Arabidopsis thaliana: one gene and its partners. The protein of the gene in region 1 interacts with the protein of each later gene in a pairwise test. Each region holds a gene or a part of one and is shown on either strand. Other genes may lie near its edges.

Region 1 (4,707 bases):
GAGGTAAGTACATAATTTTTACATGTCAATGCAAAGGAAAAAACAATCACTACCTATATGTATTTACATTAGAATCTTTGGATTAAATTTCATAAGCGGTTAATTTCAGCGGCTATATGTCACCGGAATATGCATTAGGTGGAGTGATTTCAGAGAAATCGGATATATACAGCTTTGGAGTGTTGTTATTGGAGATCATATCGGGTAAAAAGGCGACAAGGTTTGTTCATAACGACCAAAAACACAGCCTTATTGCTTATGTAAGTGTTTCTATAGTTCAATATCATTTATCTACCATATATAAAAACGTAACTTACCTTAGATCAATCCCAAACTATATGTTGTTGATCATCTTCAGGAATGGGAATCTTGGTGTGAAACAAAAGGTGTAAGCATTATAGATGAACCAATGTGTTGTTCGTATTCTTTAGAAGAAGCGATGCGGTGCATTCATATCGCACTTCTTTGTGTTCAAGATCATCCTAAAGATAGACCCATGATTTCACAAATCGTTTATATGTTGAGCAACGATAACACTCTTCCGATTCCGAAACAACCAACTTTCTCAAACGTGTTGAACGGGGATCAACAGCTAGACTACGTATTCTCCATAAACGAAGCAACGCAAACAGAACTGGAAGCGCGATGAACATTAACAATACTTGGTAAAAATGTTGCTATATCCCCTGAATTATTATTATTTTTTATTTTTTTTTAATACCAGGAGGTTCTGGGCCGAAGCCTGTAATCTTCCAGGCCCGAAACCACAACATGTAATATTAGTTTCGTTTCAAGTGTCACTCGAACCGGCGACCTATAAGCTTCGTGTAGGGTTTTTACCAATTGAGCTAACGACACTTGGTTATCCCCTGATTTATTAGATAAGAGTATTTACTTAAACTGCTTATGTGATGCTGAGAGTGTTCTTTAAAATATTTTATTCTTTGTCATTTGAAAACAAAGTAATCAAATAATTGTTGAATCGTCCTAAATGGTCTTACTGGATTTGGGCACAAAAAGAAGAAGACAATAGCAAATTACGACTTGAACTTATCAACCAACAATTCTTTTCATCATAAACTCTCGTCAGTCTAATAAAACAGAGCACTCAATCTCCTTAACGTGAAGATATGGGTGACGTGACAGAGCTGTGACCAGGAGATAAAGATGGCGACCAGGGCCAATTTGTTTCTTCCTCTACAAGAAATCTATTACCAAATGTTGGATCAGGTAAAGGAGTAGAGAAACAACTAAACCAATGCAGAACTTTATCAATATTCGGCCTTCTCTCAGCATTCTCATCCACACATAGCAAAGCAATGTGAATGTATCTCAAGATTTCGCTTATCGAATATTCTCTTTCTTCTTCCCTCATCACTTCATGGATCACATCTATGGCTTCTCCTCTGTTCCAGCATCTCCTAACCTAAAAGAAGACAATTCATACGATTAAGGAACCACTTAATTACCATCATACAAACTTTTACTTAAATATAAACTCACATATTTGATTAGAGAGTCTCCGTCCACACTCCAAGCCTTCCTTCTGCTAATGATCGTCAAGATTGTAACTCCAAAGGCATAAACGTCAGATTTGACGGAAACACGTCCGCTTCGTATGTACTCCGGATCTAAATACCCTCTGTTGATAATCAAAAAATGTTTTATACATCACACTCTAAACATCTTCAAAACATTTACCCTCAAGCATGTTAAATCACAAAACTTCACTTACACGGTACCGACAATTTCAGTTGTTTCAGCTGCGTTTTCACCTTGTTGCATCGTCCTCGCCAATTCAAATCCCACTATTTTCGGTTTCAAATCTGAATCCAATAGAATGTTTCCAGGTTTAATGTCGCGGTGAACGACCCATAACCCGGATTCTTCATGAAGGTAACGTAGCCCTCGAGCTATGCCATCAATAATGTTTCGGCACATCTCCCAATTTAGCTGAGCAGCTCTGTGTGGGTCTGTAACACATTACCACAATGACTAATGATGAGAACTTGATACTAGACTAGATTGTATTTGGAAAGGGTACTCTGTTTTAAACTGTCTAACCGAGTATAAAACAATCGAGGCTTGAGTTAGGCATGAACTCGTAAACAAGACCATGTTGGTCTCGTTTAGTGCAGAAACCAAGAAGATTGATCAGATTCTTGTGTTTAAGCTTAGACAAAATAATAAGTTCGTTATGAAACTGTCTCTCAGTTCTAATTGAACTTGTAGACAAAATCTTGACTGCTATTTCTTGTCCATTTTGAAGCCTACCCTGAAAATGATTTAAAAGGATGTTTTAATTACAATTTCTTACCATACACTAAAAACGAACCAACGTACGAAACCACTAAAAACAAACCTTGTAAACAAAACCAAATCCGCCACGACCAACCAGTTCTGAGAAATCATTTGTTGCAGCTTTAATGGTGTCCAAGTCGAATTCGAAAACTGCTGTATCTAGTAGAGACAAGTAGAATTAAACATAGTTTTGTGTGTTTTGTAACAGATGTGAGGAAAAGGTTTGAGAAGAAGAAACATGAATACTTACAGCTTATAAACTCAGTAGACTTCTTCTTTCTACGTCGGAAAACGGTATCGAGAAGCGAAGTAACGGCCATAGCAAAGATGAAGACGAAGACAGTGTCTCTGAATTTGCTTCAAACAAGTATTTAATCCAAGAAAAAAGAAGAACTTATTAGACAAGTTATTTAATTTCTTCAACGGTTGACTTCGTTGATATTGTTAGAGTCCACTATGTTGACCTTGACTTCTACTATTCATTTTGGATATTTTGGCTTCTTCATTTGTTCTTGCATTGTTTTTAATACGTAACAATTAACTTATTCTGAATATTGATATTATATAGTTTGGTATTGAAAATCAAATTATATTTCAACTAAAATGAAAATGAAAAATATATTATTTAGAAGTTTACTTTGTTTTGTTTTATTTGTATGTAGGTTCAATAAATAACAAAAAATAAATAGATATTACATAAAACATAGAAGATATTAGGTCTGTTGTTATAATAAACATATATATATATATATATATATATATATATATAACCATAGAATTCTACCATTTTTTTTTGTTTGTCACAAAGAATTCTACTTCAAGATGATGTTCTTGGAAGGAACGGAACTGAATTTTCAGCTACTTAGAAATTTCGAACCAAACCAACCACGTCACGTAAATGACACGCTGACAAAGACCGATCATAGAAAGCCAACGATTTTTGGGTCTAGACCAAGTGTAAAAGGACTTTAAGAGGTCGGTGCAATGCAACTTTTCCCGAGTTCAAAAGACCATACCTCTACTAGGATTCAAAAATCTTTCCAACTGACCCATTATTCGTATATAAATCATACATCATCTTCATGTCTAGCATGAAACATGGAGATCTTATCCGCAAAGCCATTATAGGGAACCGACCTAGCTACGCACCCGGATTTGTTTTCACTCTCCAAGAACTTGTCCCGAACATATAATATATCGATCAAATTAGTTATATTCTAAACAATTATTTTTAAAAAGATATGAAAAAATTATGTTAAATAAAAAACCTGTTAAACAATTTATTCTGAAATTATTTTAGGATTGCAAAGTTGGGTGAGACGATACAAAAGAAAAAAACAAAAAGAAAAAAAAAGCAAAGCTTAAATGCAGTAATCTTTTTTTTTATGCAACTGCTAAATTCAGTAAGTAACATCAATTTTTCTTCAGGGAAAAAAGTAATTCCCTACATAATATCTATATAAGCATTGTACTATATATGTTAGTTTGAAGGAGGAAACTTTTTGAAGTGTCGAGTCTCAGGAGGTCCAATGAACAAATCAGTCACCACTTCCATTTCATTGTCATCTATATCCAGTTCTGATGTTGATGATGATGATGATATTCTTCCTATTATTCCTCTTCCTTGCATCTCACACTTCATTCACACATTTCCTCAAATTAAAACACACTTTTTGAAAAAAAGCAGATAATTTCATAATAATAGAATGAGAATTGAGAACATAAATCAGCCCGTAAGTTAATATTAATTTGTACCTTCTCCATCAGCATTTTATTTTCTGCAATGAGGTTCCTCTCCTAAAATATTGACAATAAACCATGAAATATGGTTTAACCGTTTAATTATGGGAAATATGATTAGTACCTGACCAATACATTTGTACTAAATTAATAAAAAAGCTACATGTTACCTTTTCTTTTAATTTCTCAGTTTCTTCTCGTAATAACTGGTACTGAAATTAAGGAATTAAATAGCTAAATTAGTTGGTAAAAGACTCATTAAAGATAACATATAAGGTGATGACAAAAAAGAAGAAGAAGATAACATATAAGTCTTTTCTCAACACATATGCATGCATGCATGCATGCCTCCAAGTGTGTGTGTGTGTGTGTGTGTGTGTGTATGTGTGTATTTGGAGTGTTTATAGGATGATCCCATGTTTATATTGTTTACATAATCAACTCATTTGTGATAATCGAACCAGGCGGCCACCACGTCATTGTCATAAATCTCGATGAAACAATAACCATATGATAAGAGTGAAGATTTTATTTTAAAACTAAGAAATGATCACATATACAATAATCTAGAAGTTACCTTTTTGGCTCTTATTTTCATTAAGCTTCTGTCCAACTGGTTCTCCAATTGTTGTAACTCTTCTATAGAAGATGCGTCAAGTCCTTCTC
Region 2 (4,751 bases), on another chromosome or scaffold:
TAGCGGTTTTAAGGTCATCGAGGACAAATACTTTGAGATTATTACTGTGTGTCTCTGAGAGGACGTGCAAGGAAGAAGTAATGGAAGTAGCAGTACTTGTATCTGAATTAAACTCAGACCCTGATCCTCCTCTAGCCATCGTAGCTGAACCAAACTTTCTAGTCTTAGCTTCATCATCCTGAGTTTTGTCTTTGCTGAAGTAGAAACATTTCATTGCCTTAGATGAAACCAGCCTCTTCACTATCCAAACCAGGTCCACATTCCAAGTCAACACAAACAGAAACACGATCAGAGATGAATTAACAGAGATAATCACCAATCATTCAATCCATACCAGATATCAAGTTATCAACACAAAAATCATCACATTTCAACTAGATTCCCTGACATTTGGAAGAATGTAGAACAAAAATCGATATACAACACAAAAGTAGAAATGTGGTAAGAGTGTTGAGAATCAGAAAGGGAAAGAGAAGAAACCTGATGTAGAATTATTCATGAGGATGAATGGAATGCTGTGATGGGGGTCTTCATGATCATGATTGAGAGAGCTTTAAAGCAAAAGAAAATGGTAGAGAAAGAGATAAGAGGAGAAGAGAGAAGACGAGCTCACCATGATCGAATGGGGGAAGTCAAATAGGCAATGGCAGCTGGATTGCCGCTTACCAACCTATAGAAGAAGCCTTTTATAATATTTTATTTTGTGTTACACCCGCTTGCTTACTTATATCAATCAATACCTTAATAGAGAACGCGTTGTTTATTAAAAAAATTTCCCCGTGTATATTCACCATTTAATCTTTAAGGTACGGTTTAGAAGAGAAATTCAAATGAACTTTCCTCTTCTATGGAAGCTTCGTGTAATTTATCTAAAACTATGTATAGTTTTAATTTATTAAAAATTGATAGTCAAATTATAGAAAATATTTAATGTTGTTGAAATAGGTGGTACTCGAAACGTAAGAAAAAATGATGAGGTGAGGAAAAGCGTTGGAAAGAAACTTTGGGGGTGAGAATTTTTGGTATAGAAGAGACGTACATTATGGAAGTAGAGAGACTAAGTGTCAGCTATTTGAGAATCCACCTATAGCTATCTCAAAACTAACTCCACACCTAAACTTGCATCATCTCAACATCTTCCTCCTACCTACTCTTTAACTCTTGGTTTCTCTTACTTGGTCCAGTCTTTCCACTATTGAACTTCCAAGACACCAACAGTCGCGTTGTAAGTCTGTCTATTTACTTCATTTGACGAGAGCATAGTGCTCGGTTATCTGCAAGCGAATACAACATAATGACTTCAGAAAAAAAACCATCGAAGCAAAACAGGTTCCTACTTAGTGAAACCAAACCCACATAATACATATCCTAATTTCTTTACCTGTTTTTTTTACTGCTATTACTCCACCTCATTGTATTCAACCACTGCATCATAAGTCTCCATCGTGAGTATACTCTCCGCAAAACATCTGAAAAATGTTTTCTTTCTCATCAGAAATAGTATATGACCAAAAAACCTAAACCAAACAGATATCAGCTCTATCATCTGTTCAGACTTACAAGTCACTAGGTTTAGGTTGCCTATGTGTTTTCTGTACTACTATACTAAACCTGTAACTACTTGAAACTCTGAAAAAACCCTAGCGTATAAAAATCTTACCTTAGTTCATGCCAAAATATATCCACCTTATCAGACAAGAATTTTCGAAGAGAGGAGACTTCATCTTCCACCAACATCCCGGTCTGCCCGGTTTGTCGATTATTCTCTCTCTCAAGCCTTTTGATGAAAAGAGCTGACGCAAAATGAACAATAACTGAGGGATCAGGATCTCCAAGGACTGCCTGAAGCTCTCTTCTAATCCATGGCTCAATTCTTTCAGTTATCTTTGCTTTGGTGTAATCATTCACCGCCAAACTCTACAATAATCCAAGATGACACAACGAAGCAGGTATATATAAGGCTTCCAATGTGAACATATATCCAATAATGTAAGAGTGTAAACCCCAATACTACAAACATCAAACAGAGAAGAACACATTGTATAATGAAACTTACTAGTTCCAAGCGCCTTGAATGTAATCGAACAGCTCGTAATTGCTTAGTGTATATGCTGTATTTAGAGCCAACACTAGTTAGAAACAACGGCGAACTAATCTAACACTTCGAAAAAGGAGATTGCAAATGAAGCTATAGAGTTAGAATCAATAGTAAACCAACCTAGCTCGCCACTGAAGCTTTCGCTGGAAGATAACAGAATCAGGAACTGAACCTGGTCGTCCAAATGATCTCCGCCATGGCAATGGCCTTGATCTTGAGCTAGAGTTTTCCAAAACATCCCTCGACCTTTGAATTATCCTAATGAAATAATAACCAAGTGAATATAATAAAGAAGTGATTTTTAACTTCATAGAGAGGATCTTAGAGAGAGAGATAACCTCCGGCGATCGGAAGGATTATTCCGATGATAAGTTAAAGTCTCACGATCACGAAGAATTGGTAATTGCTCCTTATGGTATTTTCTAGAAGCAAAATCACTAACGATAAACCAGGAATCAAAACGAGTGTTACAAAGAGGACAATTCCTCTTGAAGCTGCTCCACTTCCGAATACAAGCAAGGCAGTATCCGTGCTTGCACACCGTGATCACGGCGGCGGATCTTCGCTCGGTTAGATTTTCGAGGCATATCGGACACGATTTCCCCTGTAAAGCAGGAAATATTGCTCTCCCTGCAAATTTCGCGATACTTTCCGGCGATCGAAGATGTCTCGAAGACGAAGGCGCCGTGGAGGACGGTAATGGAGGCATGACCGGAGATAGAGATTGTTCGGTGAAGTCGGGCTCTTGGAAAAGTCGGGTTTTAATGAACCGAGATGGATTTCAGATAGATAACCGGTTAATGTCGGTTTGGGTTGACTCGGTTCGAGATTTCTTGTTTCAAAATGAAGAGCGAGCGTGAAGGATCTTTTACTTCATCGCTGCTCCGAAGAAAAAACTTCACCATTGCCACTAACGACGAACTCTCTTGTCTCTGAAATGGAGGTTCCAAAGGAGCAGATCGCGACTTTAATAGAGCATGGGCTTTACGATTCTGCTGAAATGCTCGTAACTTCTCTAGCTTTTAGCTCATTTTGATTGTCTATCTCTTTTTTTCTAAATCCCTAGTTTTCATCAAGAGCTAATGAAATTCTCTCTATATATGCAACTAAATCCAGGGCTGCTTTCTCGTTTCTTCTCCTACTGTTAGTGCCGAAACTAGTCCTCAGCTCAAGGCGGAGAATTTGGTTAAGCTTCTTTCTCCGTCGATATTTTCTATTTTAGTAGCTGCTGAGTCCGTTAGATTGAAGTTAGATTCTTTCTGTGTTTTTTAATCAGATTCTACTGGGTGATGCTTTATTTCATCAGAGAGAACACCGGAGAGCTATTGTAAGTTCTCAAAAGTTTCATTCTTTATGTTTCTCTTTTGCTGTGAAGGAAATGTTACTCAGTTCTCGATAGTTTAGTTCTGCCTCAAATTTGAACTCTATAAATCATTCTCGGAACTTGAATTTGACTGGATTATGATAAAATTGTAAAGATTCTGATTATATGAATTTATGGAGTGAGCAGAGATAAGTTTTATATTTGTATTGCTTATTCTTTTCCTGTGGATTACTTTGAAGTCATCTCGAAATTCTGAATATGTATTCCTTCTTTTTGTCAGCATACGTACAAGCAAGCGTTGCATCATTACACAAGGATTCCGAAGCAAAGCTCCGGTATTTCGAGGAGTTCATTATCTTTATCTACCAGATCATCTGTGAATGCCTCCAGCATTTCTGCTATTAATGAGAACGAGGTAAATAACTGTGTTGCAGTTTCCAGAAAGTGATGTGGTTTGGTTTAATTTCATTGGAGTTCATGTGCATCTTCTTTTTCTAACTTTCCTTTTAGGTGAGATTCAAGATTGCTTCATCTCACTTTGCTCTTAATGAAACAAAAGCTGCGATTGCTGAGGTATGAGTGTCATCTGTTTGTCTGGTTTTCAAGATTTATTTAGTCTTCTGGATTTGTTGGTCTAGAAACTTTGGTATATAGAAAATAAAATATGTGTGTATGAGACGGTAAAAGAGCTGTCTAGGGATTTCTCTATTTCTAAGATTATAGATTGGTTTTGTATAGGATGACTTTTATGTCTTGCTATTGTATTTTATAACCAGAGTTAAGTAACTGTAATTTCAGTGAAACATTCTTGGGCCGTAACTAATGCATTGTTATAGTATTCCTGAATGTGAGTTGAATTTTGTTGCGTTGACCTGCTCCCATCAATGCAAATCCATATTACAAAACAAGTAAACTAATTGGATTCCTTCCAACACTGCATGTAGGTATTAGGGATGATAAAGCCATGGTCTGCTTAGCTATAATCTATTTTTGCACTTGTTATTTCTTTGCCAGATGGAATCTGTCAAGACCAGGAGCTTAGAGATGAATATACTGATGGCAAAGCTTCATCGAAATTCTGGATACAACCGTGGTGCTATTGCTTTTTATAAAGAGTGTTTAAGGTCTGTTTTTCGTTTTCTTTCCCAACATTTCCTAGCATAGAAACACTGTTATAATATCTCACTTTTTACGTTAAATACCAATTCAACACATAGTAAACATATATATAATCTTTAATCTCTGCAGGCAGTGTCCTTATGTACTTGAAGCCGTCATAGGTTTAGCTGAACTGGGAGTTAGTGCAAAGGATATCATATCATCGTTTAC
Region 3 (8,465 bases), on another chromosome or scaffold:
TCCATCTTATGTGCCTCAGGCCCTCGGTGTAAGATTCAAATCTTCAAGCATTCGTAGAAATGTAAGTTATTTGGAAGAGAACTCTCTAGCCAATTGTTTGCAAATGCTTGGAAATGCAGATATATACCTGGATGGGCACTTTAAACATTTGTCGTGGAATAAGCTCTTTGAGTTTCTGAGTCAAAGCTCTCCCAACGGAATATGCCTGGAATCACAGTACAAAACGATTCCACAATACTGTGAGGACAAGATATAAATCATTGCTAAATCGTGAGAGATGTACTAATCTCTGCCGTAAGAGCTTTAAGCTAATGGGAACAGTTCTACAAAACTTTACAATCAGAGATGTGTAAAAGATAGTTGGCAGCGCCTCGTGTTTCCATCAATCTACTTATCCAAACTTTTTGGGCAAGTGAAATTGTATCAATGAGATTGCTGAACCAAATTTTTGTATTCAGGTGTAAGAGTGCGTATGTATGCTGTATTCATAAAAGTTCATATTAAAGAGCTTAAGCAAAATAACCTTATCCCTGTGTACGATGGTTGACAAAGGTTCCACCATTTCAGCATTAATCAGAATATCGAGTTTTATCAGATCACTTTCCCTGTACCTGCTCACATATTACAAGACAAAAAAAAAAAGTTGAATACCTTAAGATGGTAAGAAAGACATCAAAAAGAGCAAAAGAAACATATTATGTATTAAGCTTAAATGGAAACTGACGAAGCTGAGTAGTTAACTTGTATAAAGAAGGGCTACCAAATTTAACGATAGAGAGCAACACGATAATTAACCTGATTGAAATTGATCTGATGCTGCTAAGCAAATATATATATTTTAGATACTTGTTTATCACTTTGGGATTACTATGAAAAGAATATAGATTCTTATCTTCACAAAAAAGCTGACGCATTTCTTTGTTAATCAACAAAAATAGAAGGCAAGCATCACAAAGTAAGAGAAAGATCTGTGTATTAAAAGTTGAAAGATCTAACCCAATAACGGAGTATTCCATGCTAGCATATCCCTTGGTTCTCGACTTCAATTGGTCAAAGAAATCACCCACCATCTGCAAAATGGCAGGGAGCGATTAACAAGAAGATCAGTTTACATAATCAAGAGAGACATGGCTAAACTTTCATTGGGGTTATCTTAACTCTGCACAAGCAGAGATCTCACCTCTGCAAGAGGTAACTCATAGAGGATTGAAGCTCTGTTCTCAGCTATATATTTCATTTCTTTGAACTCCCCTCTCCTCTCTTGAGCGAGCTCCATAAGCGCACCAATATAGTCTTTTGGTGTGAGCAGTTCAATCTGTATAAAATGGTTTTGCAGTAAGGAAATGTAATTCTACGAAATGTGGTGTGTGAACTTATCAGCAATATCTCCAGTAGAAAAGGCAACCTTAACGTATGGCTCCTCGACCGATTTCCTTTGCCCAGGATCTGGAAGGCGTGATGGATTTGAGCACAAAGTCTGCAGTAAAATTGATTTCACAGGTAATAAGGCTCTAGATCAAGAAAGAAAGACAAAAGGATGCGATTTTCAGGGAACAAAGAAGAATATTTAAAAGTTTGGGATCAAGAGGAAATTACAGTATCACCATTTACAGAGTTCACCCTATAAACAACACTTGGAGCTGTGGTAATAAGATTTAAGTTGTACTCCCTCTCTAGCCTTTCCTGTGAAGAAGAGTGAACTGGAGCGTAAGAACAAAGAATGATATAATTCACTTTGTTGAGTATAATTTATGGCGGGTATCTATCGGGGAGGAAACTGTAAATAAGTAAAATACTAACAGATAACTCAGTATCTATGAATTTCTTTTCTCTATCTTCTGTTGCATAGGAAATTTTCAGTCAGAGACGCACCAAAAACACTTTAGAACAAGAAGAGCGAAACATATCTGACCTGCACAATTTCCATGTGGAGAAGACCCAAAAACCCGCATCTAAAGCCAAATCCCATGGCACTCGAAGTTTCAGGCTCAAACTGCAGGATAAAAACCAAGTTGAGGACAAACCTATAGATATGTTAATGCTAACGTATACGCTCCTTAGACCAAATGTGAATATTTTTAACAAAGATACATACAATAGAGGACTGAAGACCAGTTCTTTGCAAAACACAATTTTACTTTCCAATTCGAAGCCAACTGGGCATAAACATACATTGGCTAAGTAAGCATACGAAGACCATAGTTGTTTCGTCCGTGCAAATTATTCTGGGTACAGATGAAAGAAAAATGTTGTTTCTGTCATTTAATTCTACTATACCTTCAATGCAGCATCATTGAGTTGCAGTTTTTCCAATGCATCGCGAAGATCGGGAAACCTGCCATCATAGACCAGGTGTGAAAAAAAAAAATACAAAATGAAAAAGCAAAAAGTCAACAATGAAAAACAAAAACTCAGTACTGGTCAGCGTCAACTGGAAAAAGACCACAGAACACCATAGGGGTAGCTTCCTCGTAACCAGGTAAAGAGCTTTCTGCCTTTCTGCTATAATGTGTTATTGTATCTCCTACCCTGGCATCTGCAACAGATCTTACAGAAGCCGCAATATATCCTACCTGTATTTAAGGACAGTAACCTTTAAAATATGTGCAAGAAATGTGGCATGATATTCAGGCATATCTGATATACACCAGCAGCATCAATCAGTGCTAAAAACATCTTTCTAGCTATTAGAACTTGAGCAAGGGAAGATGCAACTAACCATTTCTTCTCAAATATAGCCAAACAAGAAAAGTGAAAACATATTTGTTTCATTGCATTCAAATTGTTATTAACCACAACTCTATCTTCTGCCAAAGCTGCTACAAGGAAATGCTAAGAAAATCCTTCCATTTACAAACGCTTTTAGTTTTCCTATTAACATGTGTTGGAATAGAACGGCGGAAACTGCAAAAGAATACTGACATTTTCATTTCATAATACCAAGGTTTCTGCTGAAAGAAAAAAATTCAACAAGAAAATGGGACATGGATGCACAGGAAAGTAAACAAAACAAACAAAATATTATGTTCAAAAGAGTACACTACCTCACCCGCATATAATTCATCCACTTGAATTTGATTTGGAGATAGAACTCCGACTTCATCCGCAAAATAATCCTGCAATTGATGCAAAACTGAGAACATGAAGGATACTAGTGAAACACAAGTAAGCGTTCTTAAAAGCTTAAACATTCTCAAATTTTTCCTGAAAGAATTATAGAATAACACTTCACATCGCTTTATTCAAATAGACCGCGAAAACCTATCTCATGCACAAATTACATTCAATTCATTATTGGCAAATGGAAAGCTATCTCGATTAAATAGAAAGACAGTACAGTAGAGTAAAAGAGATAAACCTTTCCGCTTGCCATGAAAAAAATTCTGTCGCCTTTCTTCACTTTCCCATCGATAACTCGAAAGTATACAATGACACCACGATATGGATCATAATAACTGCAGCAAAATGAATTTTGGACGAAAAATATAAAGTAGTTCACATATAAAAACTGCACACTTGTAGACTAATCAAGCAAAACAAACACGAGTATTTCACACTCATTTTTAGTTCACCAGTGATTAACTGGTACTGACTTGACATGCCAATGATCAGTCCAATCATTATATACGAATACAACTTCGACTCCAAGACTCAATTTCATACTGTTTTCTCTAGAAAAGGCAAAAATCGTTATGAATAAAAACAACAAGTGCAAACCTGTCAAAAATTAAAGCTCTTAAGGGCTTTCCTGCAGTATCGAGAGGTGCAGGTATCCTTTGAACAATTGCATCCAAAATCTCGGTAATACCAATTCCCTCCTGCGTGTATATATTATTCCCCAAAAATTGTAATTGAATGGATAGAAAGCCACACGTCTTAATTTTTGGGTAGCAGAATAGCAAAACAATTTTAAAATCTAACCTTTGCCGAACAGAATATCGCTTTGCTACAATCTAACCCAATAACCTACAAACAATATGAATTATCAATCAGTGTTCACATAAAGGCTGATGTCTCTGAAATTGCAGCAATGAGACAATTACCCCATTCGAGGAACATGAGACTGGATCATAATATCACAAAGAAAATGTTTAAAGCATAAAAGAATGTACCGCAATAATCAACATAATATCTAATACTAGAAGCTAGAACCTTGTAAAATGTCAAGATAACATATTGACAACAGAAAAATAAAAGACTGAAGAGTTTTTGCAGACACCCAAAAAGGAATACTGTTCAAATTATTACTGGTTGCATTGTATGATTGCTATTGAATACGAACATCATAAAATGGGTAACACAATGAACATAATCACCAACCTCCTCAATCTCCCTGAGAACTTTCTCTGGCTCAGCGCCTGGAAGGTCAATCTTATTTAAAACCTGCAGGAAGAAGTAGAGTTCATTTGCTTTAAACTCTGGTATGCAGACCAAATATTTGAAAGAAGAATAAACCACCTTACATTATTATTTCCTGTATAGTCATGAATCAGGTTGAAGCAATAATGAAACGTTAAATGATATAATCATTTTATCCTAGACTAGCTATTCTTTTCTTTACTACGCATCTTCTATGTACTGCCAGAGTGATACTACCTATTTTTTTTAACATATTTGCCTTGTTTGAAAGTTAACTTATTGCAGACTCCGACTTCTTTTAAATAAAACGACATTGACATTTTTAAATAATCTTCCATGGAGATGAGACGAAGGAAAGAATGATGATAACTACCACATATAGTTGAAATGTGATTTGTTAAAAGGAATGATGATAACTAGCACATATAGCTAATAAGATGAAGCATAATTCCGTACTTACGGGAATAATTTCGAGGTTGTTTTCCAAGGCCAAATACACATTAGCCAATGTTTGTGCTTCCACACCCTAAAGCACATGATAGAGGAAGTTTAAGTTTTTCAGTAATGTAAGTATGTAACCATCAGAAAAGAACGAAATTACCAAGCGAAAAAACGGCATAAACAATACAGATTCCAGGTTTCCACAGCGTGTCAGAAAATTGTATGTCAAGAGAAAGAAAAATCACCTGGGATGCATCCACAACAAGAAGAGCACCCTCGCAAGCAGCAAGAGATCGGGAAACCTATGTACAAATAAACAGTGCATTCTTCATCAAAACTGCAACTTAATAGTTTGTGTATATTCCTAACTGTAAAAAAAATTACGCTTTTAGGTGATATATAACACTCAAACCAAGTAACTTCTCACATATGAAAAATAACTATAAGGCTAAGCTTCAAATGTATCCGTAGACAATAAGTAGATTAGAATATTGTAAGTACCTCGTAAGAGAAATCAACATGACCTGGAGTATCTATCAAGTTGAGGCAAAACGGTGTATCTTCATAAACATAACGCATTCGAGCTGCCTACACAAACATACACCGCAAAGTTACAAATCAGACCGTTGAGCAATCTTATCGAAACTGATTTTTGATTGTGCAGAGAAAGCGATTGAAAGAAAAACCTGAAGCTTGATAGTGATGCCTCGTTCTCTCTCTAAGTCCATGTTATCAAGAAACTGCTCCTTCATATCTCTGTTCTGAACAGTACCAGTCACCTGAAGCAACTTATCCGCTAACGTAGATTTCCCATGATCAATATGAGCTATAATACTAAAATTCCTGATGTTCGAAATTGGAACCTGCGAATTTCATAACAAATTCAGTTTCAAAAAAAATCCAAATTCTTCTCAAGTTTCGGCACACGGATGAAGAGAGAGAACAAAACAGAACCCGACCTTCAAAAGACGGTCTTGACCAGAACGGGCGGCTAATTTGGAGCCAGAGACAGAGAGACCGCTCTGAGGCTCAGTTCCAGCTGTGGCTTGGCAAAGTATCTGTAACTTCCGATTAGAGTGACGGCGGAATCCAGAGACGGAAATGGAGGAGAGACGACGGAGAGATGGGGAAGATGTAGAAGTTCCGGATAAGAAAAACGTTGGAGGAGAAGATAAGTCCATAGCAGAAGCCATGGCCATGGCACTGTCTAAGCTCTCTACACCTCTCTCTACTGTTTTGAGAGAAATTCAAAGTATCCTGAGCCACAGACTATGTAACTGGGCCACTGTATCCAATTGGGCCTGTCCATCGGATTCTAACCCACCCGACCCGATTCGATCCAAATCTGTTTTCTTAAAATAACGAATTTGTTTTGTGTGAATTAAACCGAAATTAGACCACAAATTTAATGAAACTGAACAAGATCAAATAAATTGATTTTAAATCAGATAATTCTAAACCCAAAAATATTCGAAGTAGAACATCAAATGTCAAAAAACATAGAAATAAGCTTTTTGTTCAATATTGTTGTGCTATGATTTGATTCGATGAACCAGAAATCATGCATTTTGAGAATATAAGACTCTTTTTTATTCAATGATGAGTTGATTAGTGTTTAATCATTTCTTATATAAGATCTTCACATGCCTTTTAAGACTAATTTAATCCCTATGAAAAGTCCTAACCTTTTAGCGCAATTTCGGTTTAGAAGTAAGAGGAGTGAGGGATTGAAAGTAAAGATGAGTTTTTTACTTGCACGGAATGTAAAAAGACAGAGCACAAAATGAGTCAATGGCGTGGTAATAAGGGACGATTTGACCAATCCATCACCGCCTGTGACTCTTTTTATTAACATGGAGTGTGAGGAGATTAAAAGAAAAAAGGTTTAGACTTTTCTTCGTTTGTTTCTTTATCAAGCTGGTTGTTTCAATTTGGCTTTAGCTGATGCCAATTTGGTGTGGTCCAATCTCTCTTTTAATTTTTGTTTTTCTGATTTCTTCCTTCGTTCCTAGTTCATACTACTCTCCTTGACTTTCTCCTTTTTAACATCAATTCTCTCGTGTTCGAGGTTCCTTTGTCTCTTTTGTCTTTTCACTGTTGTGTGTCGTGAATCCCAAGCTCTATACCTCCGAAATTGGCTTGGCCCAAGTCTTTTCTGGTCTTTTTCTCTACTGGGTAAGTCTTCTTCTTCGCATTCCTCTCCTCAAAATACGATCTTGCTTAGGTTTTTTGGAGAAAGAAGACTTGCACAGTGTTTGACTTAAAGGCTTTTACTTCGTGAACGGCTTTGGCTTTATGTGAATCTGTTAATTTCCCCCAAGGCGATTACAATGTCTTAAACTATTTCGGACACGATCCTATCTCTGTGTTACTAATTTAGTTTGGAAGATTTGGTCTCCTTGAGTCTCTTGATCTGACTTTTTCCTTTGTTCTAGGTTATTACTCTTCCCCACAGTGGCATGATCTTTTCGATAACTTAGCTTAAAGGTCTTTGGAAAAGAGTTATGGGGAGTTTTTGCTCCAAGAGCCTTGGAATCAATTTTGGCAGCGAGTATTCTGGTTCTAGTGTGGCTGATGATGGTCGAGAACCTGATTTTGGCCACTCACAACCAAATGGGCAAACCAGTTTGATTGTTCCTGGTATGAGGCAGCTTATGGTTAAAGACGTCAAGGAACAAAATCAATTAAAAGATGTTTTCTCTTTCCGCGAAAGGGAAGCTGAAGATAATTTCTATGATGGAATTCCGACGTATACTATGGCTCCATCACAGAAAATTCGGTCTGCAAAATCAACTCAAACCGCTGTTTCAAAGGTTAGTATGGACCAAATGAAGCTCCTTTTTTAGCAACTAAGATTAAGAGTTAAAGCATTGTCTCTTAGTAACGGCAAGTGTCTTTTAAGTTTAGAAGTCCTGAAATGTCGTGAGACCAATCCGAATTTGCTATACTGTGGCAGGTTACAGAGGCAAGTAAGCTTTTAGGCAAAGCGGGGTTAGGTAGAGCAAAAGATGTTTTGGATACCCTTGGAAGTAGCATGACAGATCTTAGTAGCGGTGGATTTACTTCTGGAGTTGCAACTAAAGGCAATGAACTTGGGATCTTAGCTTTTGAAGTAGCAAACACAATTGTCAAAAGCTCAAATCTCATTGAATCCCTTTCTAAGAGGAACATCGAGCATTTAAAAGGAACTATCCTTTATTCTGAGGGTGTTCAAAACCTAGTCTCGAATGATTTCGATGAACTACTCAGACTTGTTGCAGCTGATAAGAGGTGAAAATTTTAGTCTAGACGGCTTCTTTTGTTTTTTCCTAGCTTTTTTAAAACATGGCAAGATAGTTAACTTGATATATTTGCAGGCAGGAGCTGCAAGTTTTCTCGGGGGAAGTGGTTCGGTTTGGAAACCGATCCAAAGATTTTCAGTGGCATAATTTACAGCGCTATTTCGATAGGTAGCTTTATTCAAAATATTTGTACATGGGAGAATGTTAATATTTGTTTGTCTAGCTTTCTTTTAAGCTGCCGAATCGTTTCTTTTGTCCTCAGGATCAGCAAAGAATTAACCCCTCAAAGGCAGTTAAAGGAAGACGCGGTGTTGGTTGTTGACCAACTGATGGTTCTAGTGCAGTATACTGCTGTGAGTGACTACTTTCAAAAATTAGAAACTC

The links. Proteins that work in one complex are often made in the same cells at the same time.
Region 2: the proteins of ARCK1 (region 1) and AT2G39100 interact in a two-hybrid assay, tested with the Arabidopsis thaliana proteins (one large-scale study listed by BioGRID).
Region 3: the proteins of ARCK1 (region 1) and AT5G08650 interact in a two-hybrid assay, tested with the Arabidopsis thaliana proteins (one large-scale study listed by BioGRID).

Annotation. Positions count from the first base shown.
Region 1 is NC_003075.7:7,146,183-7,150,889, reverse strand, and holds ARCK1 (Protein kinase superfamily protein), read right to left. Parts: upstream 2,767-4,707; 5' UTR 2,622-2,766; coding exon 2,552-2,621; intron 2,505-2,551; exon of another isoform or gene 2,461-2,504; coding exon 2,363-2,460; intron 2,276-2,362; coding exon 2,065-2,275; intron 1,974-2,064; coding exon 1,736-1,973; intron 1,643-1,735; coding exon 1,504-1,642; intron 1,427-1,503; coding exon 1,118-1,426; 3' UTR 965-1,117; downstream 1-964. Other genes in the region: AT4G11900 (S-locus lectin protein kinase family protein), read left to right, coding at 110-260, 359-649; AGL14 (AGAMOUS-like 14), read right to left, coding at 3,782-3,937, 4,057-4,098, 4,212-4,253, 4,619-4,707. UniProt on the Arabidopsis thaliana protein: Forms a complex with CRK36 that may negatively control abscisic acid (ABA) and osmotic stress signal transduction.
Region 2 is NC_003071.7:16,315,518-16,320,268, reverse strand, and holds AT2G39100 (RING/U-box superfamily protein), read right to left. Parts: upstream 2,914-4,751; 5' UTR 2,808-2,913; coding exon 2,437-2,807; intron 2,357-2,436; coding exon 2,219-2,356; intron 2,112-2,218; coding exon 2,057-2,111; intron 1,918-2,056; coding exon 1,661-1,917; intron 1,470-1,660; coding exon 1,400-1,469; 3' UTR 1,382-1,399; intron 1,275-1,381; 3' UTR 882-1,274; downstream 1-881. Other genes in the region: AT2G39110 (Protein kinase superfamily protein), read right to left, coding at 1-240, 481-499; APC7 (tetratricopeptide repeat (TPR)-containing protein), read left to right, coding at 3,036-3,104, 3,215-3,283, 3,375-3,425, 3,703-3,837, 3,933-3,995, 4,437-4,546, 4,671-4,751.
Region 3 is NC_003076.8:2,807,222-2,815,686, forward strand, and holds the start of AT5G08650 (Small GTP-binding protein), read right to left. Parts: upstream 6,382-8,465; 5' UTR 6,000-6,381; coding exon 5,760-5,999; intron 5,664-5,759; coding exon 5,487-5,663; intron 5,389-5,486; coding exon 5,302-5,388; intron 5,103-5,301; coding exon 5,046-5,102; intron 4,886-5,045; coding exon 4,820-4,885; intron 4,384-4,819; coding exon 4,321-4,383; intron 3,967-4,320; coding exon 3,922-3,966; intron 3,819-3,921; coding exon 3,718-3,818; intron 3,456-3,717; coding exon 3,359-3,455; intron 3,117-3,358; coding exon 3,045-3,116; intron 2,574-3,044; coding exon 2,419-2,573; intron 2,336-2,418; coding exon 2,278-2,335; intron 1,994-2,277; coding exon 1,913-1,993; intron 1,684-1,912; coding exon 1,597-1,683; intron 1,478-1,596; coding exon 1,406-1,477; intron 1,316-1,405; coding exon 1,181-1,315; intron 1,071-1,180; coding exon 997-1,070; intron 612-996; coding exon 524-611; intron 206-523; coding exon 128-205; intron 42-127; and 2 more. Other genes in the region: AT5G08660 (D-lactate dehydrogenase (DUF668)), read left to right, coding at 7,305-7,613, 7,757-8,070, 8,157-8,249, 8,344-8,434. UniProt on the Arabidopsis thaliana protein: Promotes chloroplast protein synthesis. May act as a fidelity factor of the translation reaction, by catalyzing a one-codon backward translocation of tRNAs on improperly translocated ribosomes.